4 linked regions of the Oryctolagus cuniculus genome follow. The protein of the gene in region 4 interacts with the protein of the main gene of each other region in a biochemical or structural test. Links are inferred from orthologs where the notes say so. Each region holds a gene or a part of one and is shown on either strand. Other genes may lie near its edges. The genes, in order: PDGFC, PDGFB, PDGFA and PDGFRA.

Region 1 (5,112 bases), about 100 Mb from region 4:
AGCTGCACTGACCCGAAGCCAGGAGCCAGGTGTGTCCTCCTGGTCTCCCATGCGGGTGCAGGGGCCTAAGGACCTGGGCCATCTTCTTCTGCCTTCCCAGACCACAGCAGAGAGCTGGACAGGAAGAGGAGCAGCCAGGACTAGAACTGGTGCCTCTATGGGATGCGGGGCCGCAGGTGGAGGATTAACCTAGGGCCCCAGGACTAAAATATTCTAAGCAGGGCAGTCTGGTTGGTTGGCTTCAGTCCATCTCAGGTGGAATCAGAGGGCTTGGCATTCACAGCATAGCTGAGAGAGACTCAGCTCCTAGTTTGGTCTGGTGGGCATATGTCTCTCACCAGACGCTACTCCTTGGTCTGAGGGACACTGTTCTCTTGATCCTCTCGCCCAGCCTGAGTGTCCCTGGCCACCGAACTGGCATGGTCTGCACCGAATTGCCCACCAACACGGTGGGAGATAATTCTGACTTGCCTGCCACTGAACTTGCTTGACAATGATTTTTCCTTTTGAATTTTGATTTTTAAAAATTATTCCAAACGTGTCTCTTTTATTTTGGGGGAAGGGGGCGCTTGTCCCTTCAACACTTTCCTAAGGATTTCTGCTCCTCCCAGGAGCCGCCACGGACTCCTGCATTAAACGTGGAACCCCTATATAGGCCCTGCTGACCTGGTTTTAGACAACCTCCTAAGAGCTTTCGCACCCCAGAAACCTGCCTGGGACACGTGCAACAGGCGGACCTAGGTGCTAACCCCTCTTGTTGGAGAGGTAAACAATTCTACCGCCAGGGGTTCCTGACAGCCTAGTTTTCTGAGAGGCTGCATTTTAGGAATGACAAACACTGAGGCCTGGGTGGTTCTAGACATCCTCTTGGCCATAATCCAAGGCTGTCCGACCAGCATGCCCGCTTCCCAGGCGCAGGGATTTTTGCCTGTTGTGGCTGCTACCGCGCCAGCTCCTGCAGCAGTGCGTGGCACAGCGGGCACACAGTGAGCACGGTGGTACTATTTGTTGACTGCATGCGATCATTTTGACTGTCTTCATCTTGCTTCAGGGACCTGTTAGGTTGCAGGGAAGTCTTTGACCTCAATCTCCCTTGTGGCTTCAGAGCGGAGACTCTGGCCAAGCCCTCTGGGAGAGGGGATCCCCTCGGAAATGAACCAGGACCCGTCGCGGCTCCAGGCAGTAGGGGTGGAATGCGAGTTGCAGGAAGTTCTCGCCCCAATCCTGGTCCTGGTCTTGCTTCTGCTCTGGGGTTAGGGGCGTCCTTGCGGCATTCCCCAGCGGGGGTCCTTCCGGGTCCCCTAGCGCCGGCCTGGGCCGGGCCGTGCCAGCACCTGTCGGACCGCCAGCTGGAGGCCCGCGCCGGCGCTGGGGGACGCGGTCCGGGCTGCGCCCCCCGCAGGCTGCCGCCCCGCGCCCGCCCCCCACGGCCGCCCGCGGGAGAGCGGCTCGGCCTCGCGCCGCCCGCGCCGGGCCCACGGCCCCCACCTCCCGCCCGCCGCCCGGCTGGGGGAAGGCAGCGAAGGGGAGGGGACAAGCCGGAGCCTCCCGGCCGCCCGGGCCTTTCCTCTCCACGCCGTGCGGAGACGCCGCGCCCGCCGCGCCCCGAGCTTAGCGCCGAGCCCGAGGCGTAGGGGGAGGGGGCGGCGAGCGAGCGCAGCCCCCCGCGGTGACCCCGAGCGGCCGAGCCGCCCTCCCAGGGCTTCGAGGAGCCGGGGACGCGCCCGGACAAGGTGAACTTTGGAAAAAAAAACACTCAAGCCAGGTGCCGGGATTCGTGCTGCGGCGGTCGGGACCCGGCGCAGGCGGCGCGCCCGCGCGCGGAGCGGGAGCCCCCCGCGGCCTCCCCTCCGCCTGCGCCCGGGGCGGCCTCGACCCCGAGCCCCCAGCCCCGCTCCGGCGCCGCGGCGCGCGTGGGGACCCGCCGCGGCGCCCTCGCCTGGAGTCTTCCCCCTCCCCCCGCCGGGGGTGGGGGTGGGGCGGGGGAGAGGGGCGCCCGCGGCGCCGCATCGATCGGCAGCTTTGTTATCGATCCGAAACTGCTGGCCGCGGACTTGGCTGGGAGGCCGGCTCCGCACGAGCCCGGAGGGGTCGCCTGCGTCGCGGCCCCCGCACTGACAGGTGCTCCCAGCGACTCGCTGGTGACTCCTCGCCGCTCCCCCGGCTCCCCCGCGTCCCCACCCCCCTCTTTCCTCCCTCGCCTTCACCCCCACCCCCACCACTTCGGCACAGCTCAGGATTTGTTTAAACCTTGGGAAACTGGTTCAGGTCCAGGTTTTGCTTTGATCCTTTTCAAAAAACTGGAGACACAGAAGAGGGCTCTAGGAAAAAGTTTTGGATGGGATTATGTGGAAACTACCCTGCGATTCTCTGCTGCCAGAGCAGGCGCGGCGCTTCCACCCCAGTGCAGCCTTCCCCTGGCGGCGGTGAGAGAGACTCGGGAGTCGCTGCTTGCCCTGTGCCCGCCGTGCGTGAGCGCTCGCCCCACTCAGCCAAATGCTCCTCTTCGGGCTTTTCCTGCTGACATCTGCCCTGGCCGGCCAGAGACCCGGGACTCAGGCTGAGTCCAACCTCAGTAGTAAATTCCAGTTCTCCAGCAACAAGGAGCAGAACGGTGAGTCGGGGCCCCCCCACCGTGCGCCTTGCCTGCGCTCGCCGTGTGCGTTACGTGGGCACCGCGCGCGGGCGCGAGAGGGACCCCAGCCCGCCAGGGTGCCCTCTCGCCTCGCGCGGCCGGCCCTTGGCGCGGGCTCGCGGGAGGTGGGTTAACGTGTGCTTGGCAACTTTTCTGGGGCTGCCACCCAGCTGCAGCGGGGGCAGCGTGCGTGCCCCTGCAGCCCCGGAGAGGGGGCCTTTCCGGGAGCGGTGGCGGAACGCGCGTGGCGGCTCCGGCTCACGGCACGAGATCGAGAGCTGCCTTTAAAAACGAAGTTGAAATGAATGAGTCTTGGCCCGTTGGACTTGACTCAAGGTTTTGGGGGCTGTGGGAGGTGCGAGGGGGGCTTAGATGGAAAGGCATCAATGAATCAGTAAGTAGGTAGGAGGTACGGCAGTCGAGAGACCTTGATGCGCACCTTTTAGGGCAGATTTAAAAAAGTACTTCTGTTGCGCTCCCAAGTTTTTCTTTCTCTCTTTTTCTTTTTTTCTTTCTTTTCTTCTCTCTCTCTCTCTTTTTTAACGTGCCTTGCCTTTGTACTCTGAAGTCTTACCTTTCTGGTGGTGTGTTTTTGTATGTGTAAGTGAATGACTGCTATTTTGTGTGTGCTGGAAACGACTTAATCCTGCATAGGAAATGAGAATTACTTTCAGCTTTCAAGTGTACCTGAAATGTTTAGAAAACTCTCAGATGCAAGTTCCCTTGGGCTGGGATTGCACGGAGCTGGAGAAAGGCTCCTTTCATACCGCCGGGGCAGCTCCAGGGTGTGTAATTTGCTTAGCCTCTGAACCCCATATGATTTACATCATTCAATTTCTAAACTCTTTTTCTCTTGATCTGCCATTATGAAGTCATTTTTGAGTAGACTTTGTAAATAGAAATTTTATACTGCACATGAAACCACAATGTTAATGTAGGCTGTCTAAAACTGGAATATTAAACACCCTGTTTACAAGTGGTGGCTCTTACTGTTATTTGAAAAGAAATGTGCATGTTTTTCTGCTTTGTGTGTCATCTGTTCAGAATGCGGGGAGGCTGTCACGGCACTAACCAGGAGAAATAAACAGAAGGGGTGTACCTGGAACCTCAAAAGGGGGTGTGCTGTACCTCTCGGTCCTGTTTCCTTCCCATGGTGGGGCTATTTCAAAGTTCCAGAGAGTGCTCTTCATAAAAGCAGCACAGAAAGTACTAGGGTAGGAAAAGAGATAAAAGAAGGGTTCCTGGGAGTTTACAGACATTGTTTGTGTTTGTTGCTCCGGCAGCGAGACATGGCATCACTTTTATCAGTCAATATTAATGTGGCTGCTTCTTGCAACTTGCTAATGTGATGGCACATGGCACCTGCAGGCCCCTTGAGCTGCTGATCAAAGGGCAGCCCAGGATCCATCTCTAATCACAGGAGCTGCAGAGCACTGGGGGAAAGTGATCAAAGGAGCCAAGCACCAGCTGTACCCAGGCAGGAAACACATCAGACCAACCTTTGTTCTAACTCTTATAAAATAAACGTCCAGTTCAAAATATGCCTTCTTGCTAGACAAGCCTGTCTAGAATGACCATAATGCACAATATTCCTAGCTTCTATAATTTTTTTCCTTTTTTTTTTTATTGTCCCCTACCATTTCTCCTACTGCCTTGTGGCATCTCTCTGTGGCAGCCTGTCTCTTTGTCCCTTCCTTGTGGCTCTCTTTTGTGACCCACGTGCTAGCCTTGCTTTGTAATGGGCCCCAGAGCTTTCAGGCCACGTGCAACCATTGGCCACTTTACTCAGTAAGTTCACACCCTCAGTAGAGGTGAGTTCATTAAGCCAGGCCACACACATTCTCTTGCCATCTGAGGCTGGGCCATTTCCATTCCTAAGATGCATGGTGCTAAAAATAGCCTGGTGTTTCCTAATCTGTGGGCAGAGAGAGGATTGGGCTATGTTTAGCTCTTGGGAGGGTTGGCAGCAGGAAGTAGCTAGAAGTAGAGGAACCACTCACCTTGTAGTTTGTAGCCTAAGGAGCAGTGGGACTGACCAGCACTAGGGGGCAACATAGAGCTATTTTTCTGCACATGCTCAGGTTGATTGCAATGTTTCTTCAAGGTTCAAGATTTGAGGATAACAGGTGGGTGCTGAAGATCCTCATGGAATGTGACTGTGGTCGTTCCCAGTAGTTTGCTGGAAATGCTACTACTGCTACTTCTTTTTTTGACCTTCACAATTTCCATTCCCTTATATGGGTATGTTTGGCCCTCATATTATGTTATGGTTGATTTGATTGCCATGTTGCTCCGTCAGTTTTGACATTTATGCAGTTCTCTAAGGACGAATCTTTCCCGAGGGATTCGCTAGAAGATGGCTCGTTTTGTGAAAGCTCTTCTAAGTACTAAACATGACGTGGCCACGTGTCTGTTGTGCTGAGAGGAGCCTGCTTTTAAGACCCCTGGCCCATGATACTCCTCTTCTTGAGGGTTTC
Region 2 (5,219 bases), on a different chromosome or scaffold from region 4:
GGGGCCGGCCGGCGCCCCCCTCCCCAACAGCTGGCCGCGGCCCGGGGGGCTGCGGGAGAGGCGGGGAGGGGGTGTCGGGAGGGGCCTGCAGGCGGCCAGGCCGAGTCCCGCGTCCTCCTTCCCGGGTGCGGGCCGCGGGGGGCGGCCGCGGAAGGGCGGGGCCCCCGGGCGGGCGGCCGGCGGCCCTCGAGGAGCCCCGAGAACAAAAGGAGACGGCTCCTCCGTGGTCAAAACAACCTGCGCTGGCGGCGGCCCAAGGCCCGGCCGCGGCCTCGGAGCCCTCCGCCTTAACCCCTTCGCCGCCGCTGCCGCCGCCTCCCTGCGCCTCTCGGGAGGCCCGCGCGGCCGGTCCTCCCCCGCAGCCGGCGAGGTGCGGAGGCGGGACGGGACCCCGGCCCGCCGCGCGGCCCGCCGCCCCTCCCGCTCCACCTCGAGCCTGCAGCCTGCCCCGCCCCCTTTCCCACCTGGATTCGGGGCAGACTTGCCAACTCACGGCTACGTGAGCCTGGGGGAGGGGGTGGGGGCGGGGGCCGATCCGACCGGCGGCTCGCGCAGACGTGCGTACACCCCCTCCCCTGCAGCCAGGCTTCTGCGGGCGGCGCGCTCCGCACCCTGCCTGCGGGGGAGAGAGGTGCTTCCTCTGGCAGGGCGCGGGCGCAGGTATGGCGGGGCCTCAGGCACGCGCCGCCCCGGGGCTGGATTCCTTGAGCGTCCCCGGTCCTTCCCCTACCCGCAGCGCCCCAGTGCCCCGAACCTACTCGTGTCTGTCTGTCTCTCCGGTCCCCGTCACCCAGGACACAACCCTCTCCGCCGGGACGGAGCTCTGGGGCCAAGCATGCCCTGCGCCTGCCTGCGGACGCCCACCCTGACCCAGAGCTGGGGCCAGGGCGGGACCCGAACCCTCGCCCAGGGGCGGCTGGACGCCACGGGGGGCGCTAGCTCGCGCCTCCTGGGCCGGCCGGGTGCCGGTCCGAGCCGAAGCGAGGCTGAGGCCCAAGTGGCTGGGAAGGGCGCGCAGCCTTCCGCACCCCTCGGCGGCACCCCACCCCTCTCCCCTCGGCGGGCGAGGGCTCGCTTGCAGGAACCTGAGCGGTGGGGCGGGGTGGGGGTGGGGCACGGCCACACACACCCTCCCCAGGCGCCCTAAGGCGCAGGGTCTACGCCCGTGGGAAAGAAAGCCGCCCTTGCGCCCTTCGCCTTGGAGCCCGGCACCTCCAGACCTGCGGCCCCAGCCCTCCGAGGTCAGCGGGCTCGCCCTGCTGCTAGGGTCCAAAGTTCACTGCAGGGAGGGGAGGGGCGGCCAGGAGTGGGGGTGGGGGCAATGAATGGAGAGAACCAGCCGCAGCTGCCGTCGCAACTCACCTCGGCGCTGGCCAGACGCAGGTAGCAGCAGAGAGACAGAAAGAGCGCCCAGCAGCGATTCATGCCGACTCCCGGCCCGGCCCCGCGGGGCCCCGGACGCGTAGACCGAGCGCGCCGCCCCCGCGGCCAGGGTTGGGGGCTGGGGAGGGGGGTGGGCTCGGCTCCCGTCCGCGGCGATCAGGCGCTCAGGCCGCTGCAGCCGCCGCCGCCGCTCACCCGCATGGCCCCCGGGCTCCGTCGCTGGGGGGCTGGGGAGGACCTGGGCGCGGGACCTGGGTCCGAGGCCGCTACCTGGGCGGATCCCGAGCCCGCGCGAGCATCCACGGCCGGGGGGCTGCGTCGCGATCCGAGCCGAGGCGTCTAGCCGTGTGGGGGCGCCCCGGGGACTCCAACCTCCTAGAGAAGGAACGCGGCACTCGATGGTTCGTCTTCCCTCGCCGGCTACAGGCGTTTTCCTCTGCCCGCCGGCCTAGCTTTTTTGCAACATCTTCTGGAGAGGTCGCCCAAATCGGAAAGCGCAGGGCCCGGCACCTCAAAGCCCGAGTCTCCCCGAAAAAACTTTTTCCAAAGTTGGCTTTGCAGCGGCGGCCGGAGCACCCAGGCCGGGAGAGGTGCAAACTCCCGCCCGGGCCGGGGCGGGGAGGGGGGGAGGGGGGGCGGGAGCGTGTGCGCCCTGGCGCGGGGCCCGGGCGGCGGGCACGGCGGCAACGCGCGCGCGGCGTGCCCGCTGCGCGCTCGGCGCGGCCCGGTCGACAGGTGGACGCGGCGCGAGTCCGTCGGTCCGTGTGCCCGCCGGCTGCCTGCTCCCGGCTCCGGGCGTCCTCTGCGTGCGAGCTGCGGCTGCTCCGGCTTCTCTTTACAACGAGGCTGGAAGGTGGGCCCTTTTTTTTTCTTTTTTTTTTTTCTCCTTTTTGCGCGCCTGTGTGCCGGTGTGGGCGCAAAATCCCTCTACCTCGGAGGGGAAAGATGGGCGCTGGCGGCCGGAGGGGAGCCCTCGGGGAGGCGGCGGGGAGGCAGGCGGGCGCTCCCGGCTGCAGGAGAAGTTGCCACCCTTTCAGCTGTTCCGGCCTTTATAGAGGAGAAGAGTGCGAGAGGTGGGTGGAGACAGCCTTTCCTCTTCTGGCCGGGAGTCAGCGCGGCGAGGGGGGGCGGGAGCTCGGGAGGGCCTGGGGCGCGGCCGGGCTCGCGGGGGTCTCCGAGAGAGCGGGAGCCCCTCCGCCCTTGACTCTGGCCCCCGGACAGAACTAGGGGAGCCCACGCGCCCCGCCCCTCGGGCTGGCCACCAAGGACAGGTTAGGGACCCACGTGGTTGTTGGGGGTGGGATGTCTCCAGGGCCAGGGCCAGGAGTCGAAGCCCCCGCCCCGCCTAAGGACTAGCGGTTGGCACGCCGGCGGCGCAGGCGTGCTGGCCGCACGGGACTCCAGCTCCGTGGCTTGTGGCTTGCCTTCAGAGACCCTCCCCTGGGTCCCAGGCTGGGTCACCTTGGACCAGTCACTTCCCTCCTGTGCTCAAAGTGGCGGCGGCGGGGGTGGGGGCGGATAGGCTTGTTGTGAGGATTAAATGCTGGAAAGGGCAAAAAAACAGCCAGCCAGGAGGCAGCCACAAGGTGAACACACCAACGCCGCGGCAGCCAGCACCATTCAGCTGCAGGCTGGGCCTCTGTTCCCTCCTCCCAGCTGGTTGCCTGGCACACGAGCGGCCGTGCCAGCGTTGGCTGCATCCGAGTGTGTTGAACTGCAAAGTCACACAAACCCCCACACGCCTGCAGCATCCCGCGGGACCGCCATCCCGCGCCTCCTGTCACCCTGTGTACCACCTCCCTCGGCTCCCCGGGGTGCCCGGCCGGGGGGCCCATGCGCCCACACCAGCATGCACGCAGTTAACGCCTCCCGCCCCCAGCTTGGGGAGCTGCTATGTCCCTGCCTTCGCAGCCACACTGTCACAGTCACGGAGTCACACGCGCACACGCCGAGCCCAGCACCCACCGCGGGGCCCGCAGGCTCACTGCGCCCTGCTGTCTCGTGACGCCAGGGCACCTCTAGGTTGTCTGCTGCTGCTGTCTCTGTCTGCCATCTGTACCCAAACATTGCCTCTTTGGGGTGGCAGCCAGCGCCTCACACGTGCACGGCCTGTCTCTTCGTGAGCCGCTTTCTTGGGACCGGAGGAGGGCAGGCACCCACCCCGGAGCCACACGGGTGTCACGGTGGCCGAGACGCAGCCTGGGGCAGGTCGCTGTGGTGGTTCCCAGCCTGGAGTGGCCACTTAGCTGAGCAGGTGTCCTGGGCCGGCTGTTTAACCTGGGAGGACCCCGATTTCCTCCCGTGTAATCCGAGACGCTTATATAATGGGAGGGATGGCGGAGACGCCAGGGGCCGCTTGGCGGGACGGGGAGTGTTGGTCCCCTGGGGTTGCGTGGTGGAGTCCCACGTGAGAACCGACAGGTGCAGCTTGCCACACCTCGACACACGTTGTCCACGAATGGTTTGGCCGCCTCGTGGAGGGGTCGGCGGCTCCCGTGAGATCACGCGTGCAGGGGTCCCGTGCAGGAACTGGGACAAGGCTGTCAACGCAGCTTCGCGGCGCTCGCCAGGGGCCAGGCACTGCTGCAGGCACACGAGCAAACCAGCCGTGGGGCTCGGAGAGGCCCGTGGCTCGGCCGGACAGAGGCAGGAGGGCAAGGAAGGTGAGTGGGAGGATGGGCGGCCAGCTCCCGAAGCACTGGGTTCGAAGACTTTGAGACGGAAGCCGGTCCACCAGCCAGCTGAGCGACCTTGACCTCCTGCGTCCTTACCTGAAAGTGGCACCAGAGTGGCTGCCGTTGTTAGCACCGAGCCGTGGCGGCCTCACAGCTCCTGTGAGATAGGGGGCTGCTGTCTCCTGGTGGGGAGTGGGAGCGCAGGGGTCACGCGGCCGGGACTCGAACCCAAGCAGTGCAGCCACAGAGCCCACGTGCCGTGCTCTTGCCCGGCAGGATGACCACGAGGCCACATTGTGGGCCTTGAACACATCCATGGGAAAATGCCGTGCGGCTGAGCATCTGTCCTCGGCCTCAGGGGTGCACAGCAGGGGTGCTGCCTGGAGGAAGGGACCCCAGCCTGCTGCTCAGACATGTCCTACGGCCTTGAGTGATGCAGACACACAAATCGTTGTAGTCCAGATGTGTCTGTGCACGGGCCCCTCCTCCAGGAAGCTCGCCAGGCTTGCTGCTTGCTCTGGTCTTTGCCTGGTGTATCAGCCAAGTACTAGACTGGAGTTCAGGGTGAGCAGGGGCCTCGCCCCAGCTCCCAGCGTTCAGTTGTTGCTCACTGAATGTCTGCCCATGAGTCAGTGCCTTGCCTGTGTCTGCCTGTGGGTCCCGGCGGGTACAAAGTTGCCAGGCCCTCCCTAAGGGGTGGAGGGCGGGTGCTTGTAGCATGAGGTTCTCCGATAGGACCAGGAGGGATGACGGGCTGAGAGGGGGGAGCCAGACCCCATACCCCCCAACGCCTGCTCTCCTACCCCAAGCTGGAGAACCAGTGGCCATCCTTGCCAGAGGGGGCCCGCCCAAGGCCAGGGGCTGTTGGAACTGCGCGTTCAGAGAAAGCGCCCTGACCGAGCCCCTGGCCCGGCCCTGGCTGTTGCGGCCGTGTGGGGAGTGAACCAACGGATGGAACATCTCTCTGTCTCTGCGTCTTTCAAATAAATGAAAATAAATCAAAGTCCTCTCTAAAAAAGAGTCTTCCTTCCTGAGCGTGGAGGCCGGGAAAAACCAAGGAAGGGGTTGGGGTCGATCCCCAGGCGGCCCCGCGCCATGACGCGAACCGAGGGCGCAACACCAGCTGTCCACACCTGGAGGAAGAGGAAGTGGGGCTCCAAC
Region 3 (3,895 bases), on a different chromosome or scaffold from region 4:
CGGCAGGTGCAGTCGTAAATCGCTGTTTGTTTACCTTTGATAAACGGGGCTGTCTGGAGAGCAGGTTCCCAGACTGGGCGGCCCGAGGGTGCCCCAGCCAAGGGCACCGCGGGTGGCAGTGCCCAGCGGTCCTGGGAGCCCCCTCCCTCTGCCGCCCCCCTCTATGGGCGGAGGACGGGCCAGGGAGCCCAGGGCGCCCCGCCGAGGGACGGGAGAGGCCGCTGTTAACTGCCTGTGGACACAGAGGTCGGCGCCCCCGGCCCCAGCAGGTTGAGAGGAGGTTGAGAGGAGGGAGCCTAGGTGCTCAGCAGGGGCTGGTCGCCCCCTCCAGTCCCCCTGCCAGGGCTGTGGTCAGCACCCCCAGAAGAGGTGAGGGGGCTTCCTGATGGACGGAGGCTGGGGGTGGCTGGGGCAGGGCCGGCTTGCAGGAGCCCTGGGGGCCCAGGCTTGGCCTGTCCTAGCAGCCTGGTGCTGAGTGCGGCCCTGCCCCCACCCCGCAGGTGTGCGCCCCTTTGCTGGGTGGGGGGGGGCTGGGGCCGGCCTCTGCGAGCAGCAGGTGCCTGTCCAGGCAGCGGCTCCTGGGTCCGGGGGCCGGCCTCTCGCCCGAGTCCTGCGTAGTGAAGCTGCGTGCCGGCCCCCGGCCCCGCGCCCCACACACCCTGGGCCCATCCCCGGGCTCTGTGCTCGCCCGGGCGGCCCACACCGCTCCGCACGCCTGCCGGGCGCGCGGCACCCTTTGCCCTGCGGGTTAACCATTACTGCGGCTGCGGGGGGCCTGCCCAGGCCTGCTCCCCGGCTCTGGGGGCTGACCCTGCCCGAGGGTCGCGGGGAGCCCAGGGCTGCGGGGTCGGCGTCCCCTGCGAGTGACCGGGGAAGGGGCCTGGCCGGGCCTCGGGTTCCTTGGGGGCCTGGGACAGCTGCTCCTCGCCCACCCCCAGGCACGTGTGTGCACGTGGGGCGGGTAGGGCGTCCCATGACGGAGCGTGTGCGTGTGGCTGATGGCGGGTTCTCGGGTCACGGGTTGGCCATGCGCACGCGCGGGCGCTCCAGAAGCTTCCCTGTGGAGTGCGCGTGCGCGGCCGGCTTCGACGTGGGCCGCGGGTGGCCGGGGTCAGGGGGCGGGGCCGCGTGACGCACTTCCGGCGCGCGGGCGCTCATGGCCGTGGCGGCGCTCTCTCGGGCAGGTGGCCAAGGTGGAGTATGTCAGAAAGAAGCCCAAGTTGAAAGAAGTGCAGGTGCGGCTGGAGGAGCACCTGGAGTGCGCGTGCGCGGCCTCGAGCGCGGGCCCGGAGCACCGCGAGGAGGAGGCAGGTAAGCGGCGCGGGCGGGCCGGGCGGCGCGGGCGGGCGGCCGTGCGTGGCGCCCTGAGGCCGCTCTCCTGCCCGCCCTCTCGCCAACAGGAAGGCGTAGGGAGTCAGGTAAAAAACGGAAAAGAAAGAGGTTAAAGCCCACCTAAGGCGGCCGAGCAGGTAGGACGCCCGCGCCCGCGGGGCTCTGGTCGCGCCCGCCAATCGGCCTGGTCGGGCTGTGCTGTCGCTGGGCTGCGGTGTCCCCGCTCCGGTGCCGCCGCTGCTGCTCCTGCTGCTGCTCCTCCTCCTCCTCCTCCTCGCCGATGATCGGGGCGCTGCGGGGTTCGGGCAGCTCTGGGGGTCGTGCGGGGGTCGCCGCGGGCAGGCTGCCCACCCCATTTGACAGATGAACAAACTGAGGCTGGACCGAGCGAGAGGTGACCCGTGGGGGCCGAGCAGGGCCGGCGGCCCCGGGCCCTGGGCTAGGAGGAGACAGGCCGACCCCGCCCAGCGAGGGCTTCCCCACAGGACACCCCCTTCCCCGACCCGGAGGGAGCCGGCCAGTGCAACCCAGGTGTCTGCCTGGGCCGGGGCCCGCGGGGCGCACGGCCTGGGTCTGTCCCCGAGGACAGCGGGAGAAGAGTGTCCACTCGTGGCCCTGTGGGAGGTCTCAGGCTGAGGGCGGAGGCCCCTCGGTACCCGGGCTTCAGGCCGTGGGTGCTGCACCCGCTGGGCTGTGTGGTTGAGGAGGGGGTCCCCACAGAGCTCAGCGAGGCTCTGCCTGGTCACAGGGACCCTCCTGCCCGCGCCTGGTGGCGTCCATCCTCAGGGTTGCCTCAGAGCCCACGATGGCTGCCAGAGCTCCAGAAATCACATGCAAGCCCTGGGCTGGAAGAAGAAGGTAGGGGGCAGGGCGGAAGACCCCCTCCTGGGCCTCAGTTTCCCCCATCTGTGCAATGGGCGTCCGGACGCTGCACCGCGGCCGCCGTGTCGGCGACTTCCCGGCCGCGGCCCTCAGCCCGCCTCTCCCTCTCCCCGCAGATGTGAGGTGAGGGCCCCGGCGCCTCCTGGGACACGGATGTGCGTGGCGTGTTACATTCCTGACCTGCTCTGTACGGTGCTTCCTTGCCAGCGTGCCGTCTTTGTTCTCCTCCGTGGAACACCGCCCGAGGACACTCGGGGGAACAAAGAGACAGTGACCGCGTCCACGCGGGCAGCGGGCAGCCTCCCGGCAGAGCGCGGGGCAGACGGACCGCGGGCGGGGCCCCAGGTGCTTTAGCCGCCGCCGCGGGGCCGGGGAGCCGCGTGTGTCGACACAGACCCCTCCTGAGAGCCTTAAGTGGATTTTTTACACCATCGAGTGGTCGTCAGCCCCCTTTCTACTCGCTCTCCTCTCGTTTCCGTTTGTAACGACGCCGGTGGCACGCGAGGCTGCTGTGGCTGGGACGGCGCCCTCCGTCGGACGCAGACTAACGAGATGTATTAAATAAACGTGCTACACCCGCCTATGCACCATTCCCCGCCCGCGTCCGGCCTGCTGTGTGCCCGCCCGCGCCCCGCCCGCACCGCGAGCCCCGGCCCGGGAGCCAGCGGTGGACGGCGCGGGGGCCTGCCCGGGGGCACAGAGCGCGCCCTCCGTCTCCTGGCCGTGGGCGATCCTGTCCCCACGTGGGCTTGCCGGGCGGCGGCCGCCGTCCGGTGAGGCAGGCAGCAGCCCGGGACCGTGGAGACCCCTAGGATCTGACCCTGTGCCGCTCGGAGCCTCGTCCGTCACAGAAGAGTGGGGCCGGCTGGGTCCCTGGCTCCCGCACCTCGGCGGATGTAGACACTGGAGGGACGCGGCGCCCGGCCCTGCTGTCTGCGCCGGCGGCGCCCGCCGAGGCCGGCTCGCACCAGCCCTGACCGCCCCGCCCCGCCCCGCTCCTTTAGTGAGCCAAGCGCCTGTGCAGGGCTCCGTCCGCGCACCTGTTTGTGCTGTGTGGGTGAGGGGGGCCTGCCAGCCGGGGCGCCCACAGAGCAGGTTGGTCCGCGGCTGGACTGGCCTCAGCTGCTGCCCCCGGGCCTGCGACCCTCCCGCCTCCTCCCACGGCTCTGCGGTCGCCCCTGGGCCTCCCGTCTGCACCCCAGCGCCTGGGTCTGCCGAGTGGGCGTGGGGAGGGGCAGGGTGGCCTCCCAGCCTGTGCCCCACTCCTGGGCCCGGGCGAGCTGACCCCCGCCTGCAGGGCCCGTGGCTGTGCCTCTGCCCACCTGGCCGCCCTCCCCAGTCCTGCCCTTGCTGCTCCTCGGCGAGGGCCCGGGCCTGGAGAGCCGCCGACCCCTGCAGCGCCGGCTTTGGCTGACGTCTGCCCCGGCCTGGATCTGCAGCGTTCACTCTCGGGATGGACATGCGGGGGTCTCTCCCACTTGCAGGGGGAGGGGCTCGTGCCCTGGGGTGCCCTGGCCCTGTGGGGGGGCAGCCTGTGCCTCCCCGGGCCCCGTGCAGTTTCTGTGGTCGCGTCGTGGCGGGGGCTGGCAGGGGGCTGTAGGCAGCGCCCCACTCTTGGGGTGCTTTCCATGGGGCTCCCCGAGGAGTGGCGTGAGGAGCAGGCGCAGCCAGCCCCGGGAGG
Region 4 (4,920 bases):
CTTTTCACCCAGCAGAAAGACCCAACTGAGAAGCCTGTGTCCTTGAGTTTTTAGGGACCCTTCCCAGCAGTGGCAGTCACAACTTCGGCTTTCATCCAGTTGTCCTGAATTGTACCTCGCTGCAAGAGAGACAGTGAGGGGGAGACTTCCATCTCGGGAAAGAAAAAGAGAGACCCTATGACGGAGAAGGAAAGACAGAACCACGGCAATAGGACAGCACGCAGTCATCGGCATTGGGTCTGCCTTGCTTGTCTGTCCCTGAGAGTGAGTACCCTGGGGTCTCCTGCTGGTGGGTGGAAAGCTGGGCCCCCAGAGCCTGCATCCTGGGGGTATCACGGGCGATCACGGAGTACAGGTGTGGCTATGACCATAGCTTGGACAACCTTATTGCCGAAATACTGTGCTTGCACCATGACTCCTAAAACACAAGTCCATCAGGTGTGCCTGGCTCCAGTGCACAGTGTAGGTAGCTCTCTAACCTCAACCACCTCTCATTGTGTGGGTTCAGACAGCAGCTGACTATTTGGAGACGGATTCTCAGGGTCTTCTCTGCCGACGGATTCTCTCCAGGATTTTCTTCTTTGTTTTGTATTTATTTACTTGAAAGGTAGTTACAAAGAGGCAGAGAGAGAGAGAGAGAGAGAGAGAGAGAGAGAGAAATAGAGATCTTACAGCTGCTGGTTCACTCCCCAAATGGTTGCAACAGCTGGGGCTGGATCAGACCAAAGCCAGGATCCCGGAACTCCATCCAGGTCTCCTATGTAGGTGGCAGGGGCCCAAATACTTGGGCCATCTTCTGCTGCCTTCCCAGGCGCGTTAGCAGGGCGCTGGATGGGAAGTGGAGCAGCTGGGACTAGAACCAGCACCCATATGGGTGCCAGCATTGTAGGTGGTGGCTTAACCCAGTGTGCCCCAACACCTGCCCTAGTGGCTTTTTCAAATGCTTCAAGCTAGAAGTATTTTGTTTCCTGATTGTGTTGTTCTTGGTTGTTCCTCAACATAGCACCAGCCCCTGTCCACACCAGGGACCCCATCTCCTGCCAGCGCAGTGCCTGCTGCTTCCCTCACTCCAGCCCACTCCCTCCTCTCTCTGATCACAGCACAAGGCCCCCTGCCTCCCAGAAGTCCCCTCTGCCCAGCCGCTCGCTCGCTCGCCTCCCGCTGACCTCAGGGGCTTGCTCACCTCCACAGGCTGCTCCCCAGCGTCACCCTCCTAGGCTCCCCAGGATGCGGCCTCCCCTGCAGGAAGCCTCCAGGGGCCTCCGATTGGTGCCCGCTCTCCTGTGCGCTGTGACATCACCGCGCACCTCCAGCCTCGCTGGAGCCCAGCACTGCCACTTGGCGTTCACTGACCGCTCACCCAGGCTTCGCCGCTGCAGAGCCCTGGGCAGCCGGCGCTCAGTGAGTCCTTCCGGCGTGAAATCCCAGTGCTCTGGGATGGTGATCGGGAGCCTGCCTCGCTGGCTTGCGATGTTCTCTGAGGACCTCCGTGGAGTGGGCCCGGGCCCACCTGACTGCGCGCGGCAGCGCCCCTCCGCCCAGTTCTTCCTTTCCCTCCACCGCGGGGCTCCGAGAGCACAAGGCCCCCTCTCCAGAGGCAGGCTGACCTCACCGGAGCCAGCCCTCCTCCCTCCCCAGCCACAGCTGCGTGCTGCAGAACGGGACGGCTGAGGCCCCTAATAAACTGCAGACCTCCCCATCGCCCTGCCCCCGCCTCCCGCACGCCGGCTTTCAAATTAAAAGCAACACAAACCCCAGGCCTAAGAAGGCGCTGGGAGGAAGGGGGACCATCGCATCTCTAAATCCAGGAAGCTGGGGTCCCCAAGAGCCCGCTCCGAGGGGCTCGCAGCCCGCCCCAGCCGCGCTGGACCACCGCGCAAGCTCGGGGCCTTGCACCCAGGGCAGCCTGCGGCGGCGTGAGGACCCCTGACACAGCCGCCCCTGGAAGGAGGGCCCCCAAGGAGCCCAAGGCAGACGCTGCACCCTCGGGCCTGGCTACCGCGGCAACTGGAGGTGAGCGACGCGCGCGCCCGAGACGGGGTGAACGCCCTCCAGGTCGCCCACGCCCCACTTGCGGGCCAAGCCTCGGGGCCCTGTGAACCCCGAACCCATGGACCCCTCTGCGGGGGCGGGCCCGAGCATAGGGGCTGGGGGCTCCGGAAGCTGCAGCCGGGAGGGCCAGGGGTGGGAGTGGGGCGGTCAGCGCCGCGCTCTCCCGCGAACCACCAAACGGCCCTTGCTTTTCAAATCCGGAGCCGAGACCTCCCCCATCCCGCCCCGCCCCCCATCCCCCCGCGCCGGCGTCCCTGGGGGTGGGGAAAGACAACTTCACAGGTTTGCTTCAATGCGGTTTTCCCCACTAACGGCCTGGCTTCAGAAGTCTCAGAGAGCAACGGGACATCGCGAATTCCAGGAGAAAAGACGGGATCGGGGTGGGGGTGGGGAGCAGATGCCCAGGCCCCCTCCGCGGGCCACGCCCCCGAGGCCCAGGCCCGGCCCGCGGGCGCTCCCCGCGGTCCTGGGCGCCGAGGGCTAGAGACCCGCGGGCAGCGCAGGGCGGGGCCGGGCCGGGCCGGAGTTGTTTTTTTGTTTACAAGGCCCAAGGCGGTCCGCTGCAAGAGGTTGGCGGGGCCCGCACTGCAGGCCGGGCTCCTCCACGGGGCCTCGCGTTAACCTTGCGTCCAGCCCGCCCGGACACGCCAGGCCAAGGCCAACGCCCGCGGCCCCACGCAGGCCCCTGCTCTGCTTTGGCGCGGGCAGCCTCATTCTTAACTCTTCCATGGACGCTCCAGAAAAGCGCCCAGGAGGTCGAAAGTCGCGATCCCCGCACGGGTGGGCGCAGGCGTGAACCCCCGCCCTGTCCCCCGTGGCTCGCCTCGGCCACAGCCCTGGTCAGGGAGACAAGACCCCGCAGCCCGCCCCGGCCAGGCCACACTTCCCGCCGGCTGCAGCCCGGAGACCACCCAGGGCCCTGGGCGTCGAGGGAGCCACGTGGAAGGAGCGTAGGGCGACCCCGGCCGCGCCGGAGCCGGGGCAGGGCGGATGGCGCGGTGCGGACCGGGCTGCGAGCGTGGGCGGGGCGCGCTGGCCTCGCCCCTCCACCCCCCACCCCCGCCGCCTGGCTGCGGGGACCTCCCGCCCGCCGCGGCGCCCGGCCACCGGGTTTATTTTGCTTTCCAGGGGGCGGCAGATGGCCAGCCCCTTCGGCCTCTGCTCCGTCCGTCCGCAGCGGGCGAAATCTGGCTCCGCCGCCCCCCGACCATTTGCCACCCTGCGCCGCCCCCCACCGGGGTGCTAGCCGCGCCGTCAGCGCCCCGGGCCTTTCAACCTGGGAGAATGTCACACATGGAAACCTTTAGCAGCCGTTTGTTAATGATCGCAACAAAGGCAGCGTTCAAATTAGGCAGGTAATCGCTACCAGAGGGTAGCCAAGGCTCGTCGGCGCATCCCTCTCGCCGCTGTCGGCTCCCGAGGAGCTGCGGCCCCGGGACGCCCCTCGGGGGTCCCCGCGAGCGGCTCCGGAGCGACCCGCGAGGTCGCCGTCTGCCGCCGAGCCCCTGAGGGGCGTCCCAGCGAGGCCGGGGTCTGAGGCCCCCGGTTGCTTTTTCTGGGGGGTGGGCGGGTAGCTAGCGGCCGTTCGTTTTCTACAAGCATTACGGTATCCTGTGCGCATTCCGAACAACGGGCTGTTCATATATCTGCCTGCCACGGCTTCCTGAAGGAACATGTGGAAGTAATAGCGAGCGAGCCGTGCAGTCACCCGGGCTGAGGACGCGCGAGAGGCGGGCGCGCGGAGGCCCCGGCCTGCCACCCTGCGCCCCTGGAAGCCCCGCTCGGCGAACCCCGCCTGTCCGCTGCCGACGAGCCCCTCCCGGGCACTGAGGTGTGGGCTGCTCGACGTGCGGGGAGCTGCTCGCCCGCCCGAGCCGTTTTGAGTGCGCGCGCGCGCGCGCGCGCGCCAGGGAGGATAAAGGCTGGCGCCCCCCGCCCGCCCGCGGCGAGAGAGCTGGGGAGGAGGGCGAGCCGGGGAGGGAACGCGCTCCCCTCCCCCACCGCGGCTCCGCAGCCCCGCTCCGCCCGGCTCCGGTTGCTGGAGCGCCAGCGCCCCCTTTCCCTCGCGCGCAGGATCGTCCCTTCCCGGCGCCGTCCCGGGCCTCGCGTCGGGCGGCGCTGGCTTAGGAGCCCCGCTGGCCACTCCGGGGGCACGGGCAGAGTCGGACGCACGCGGCGCGCGGGCTTGCCTAGACCACCGCCCCGACGTCCGGGCCGAAGCCCCCGGGCCCCTGGCCTCGCCCAGATAACCCCAAAACAAAGGCGCAACGAGATACGTGGCTGCGAGGGCGCAAAGGTCGCCCTGCGGAAGACCGTCCCCGGCGGACGACACAGACCCTCCATTCTCTGGACCCCACTTCAGACTCCACCCAGCCTTTGAAAAACCCATCATCCTCCCATCCGACTCGGCAGTTTGCCTAATCCCATTAAGGGATTAGCAGCTCCTCCGCACTTTCCGTCAAAGACCTCCAGCCCAAAACGGCACGGCCACTCGGAGACCGCTCCCGAGGGTCCCGTTTCGAGCTGGGCCAGGAGCCTAGTACGAAAGGGACATCTCTCACTCCAGATTTATATTCTCTCTGGGCGCGGACTCGGAGTTTTATGTGTTCCTGTTGTTCTTTTCAAAGAGAATACAAAACTATTTGCAGCGCCAGAAAACAGACCCCGGGTTGCGAGGCAAAGTGGCTCTGGTGATGCTGGGGCTCTCTGCAGGCTCACGAACCCTCTTTCCCGGCAGAACGGCGACACCTCCCCCCTGACGCCACCCCCACCCCATCTGGCCCGCTTCCCCGCCCCCTCCCCTCCCCAGTTGTTGTCGAAATCGGGGGTTGGGACTGGACCCCCTGATTGCGTAAGAGCAAAAGGCGA

The links.
Region 1: the proteins of PDGFRA (region 4) and PDGFC form a complex in vitro, tested with the Homo sapiens proteins (2 studies listed by BioGRID and IntAct, with this or other methods). The link is inferred for Oryctolagus cuniculus from reciprocal best matches to the Homo sapiens genes PDGFRA and PDGFC.
Region 2: the proteins of PDGFRA (region 4) and PDGFB form a complex in vitro, tested with the Homo sapiens proteins (3 studies listed by BioGRID). The link is inferred for Oryctolagus cuniculus from reciprocal best matches to the Homo sapiens genes PDGFRA and PDGFB.
Region 3: the proteins of PDGFRA (region 4) and PDGFA form a complex in vitro, tested with the Homo sapiens proteins (2 studies listed by BioGRID). The link is inferred for Oryctolagus cuniculus from reciprocal best matches to the Homo sapiens genes PDGFRA and PDGFA.

Annotation. Positions count from the first base shown.
Region 1 is NC_091439.1:7,192,964-7,198,075, forward strand, and holds the start of PDGFC (platelet-derived growth factor C), read left to right. Parts: upstream 1-2,011; 5' UTR 2,012-2,496; coding exon 2,497-2,614; intron 2,615-5,112. UniProt on the Homo sapiens protein: Growth factor that plays an essential role in the regulation of embryonic development, cell proliferation, cell migration, survival and chemotaxis. Potent mitogen and chemoattractant for cells of mesenchymal origin.
Region 2 is NC_091442.1:115,564,943-115,570,161, forward strand, and holds the start of PDGFB (platelet-derived growth factor subunit B), read right to left. Parts: upstream 3,001-5,219; 5' UTR 1,426-3,000; coding exon 1,363-1,425; intron 1,282-1,362; exon of another isoform or gene 759-1,281; intron 1-758. UniProt on the Homo sapiens protein: Growth factor that plays an essential role in the regulation of embryonic development, cell proliferation, cell migration, survival and chemotaxis. Potent mitogen for cells of mesenchymal origin.
Region 3 is NC_091450.1:36,156,606-36,160,500, reverse strand, and holds the end of PDGFA (platelet-derived growth factor subunit A), read left to right. Parts: intron 1-1,184; coding exon 1,185-1,311; intron 1,312-1,400; coding exon of another isoform or gene 1,401-1,456; exon of another isoform or gene 1,457-1,469; intron 1,470-2,080; coding exon 2,081-2,190; intron 2,191-2,330; coding exon 2,331-2,336; coding exon of another isoform or gene 2,337-2,341; 3' UTR 2,342-2,807; downstream 2,808-3,895.
Region 4 is NC_091439.1:109,932,132-109,937,051, reverse strand, and holds the start of PDGFRA (platelet-derived growth factor receptor alpha), read left to right. Parts: upstream 1-1,897; 5' UTR 1,898-2,013; intron 2,014-4,920. UniProt on the Homo sapiens protein: Tyrosine-protein kinase that acts as a cell-surface receptor for PDGFA, PDGFB and PDGFC and plays an essential role in the regulation of embryonic development, cell proliferation, survival and chemotaxis.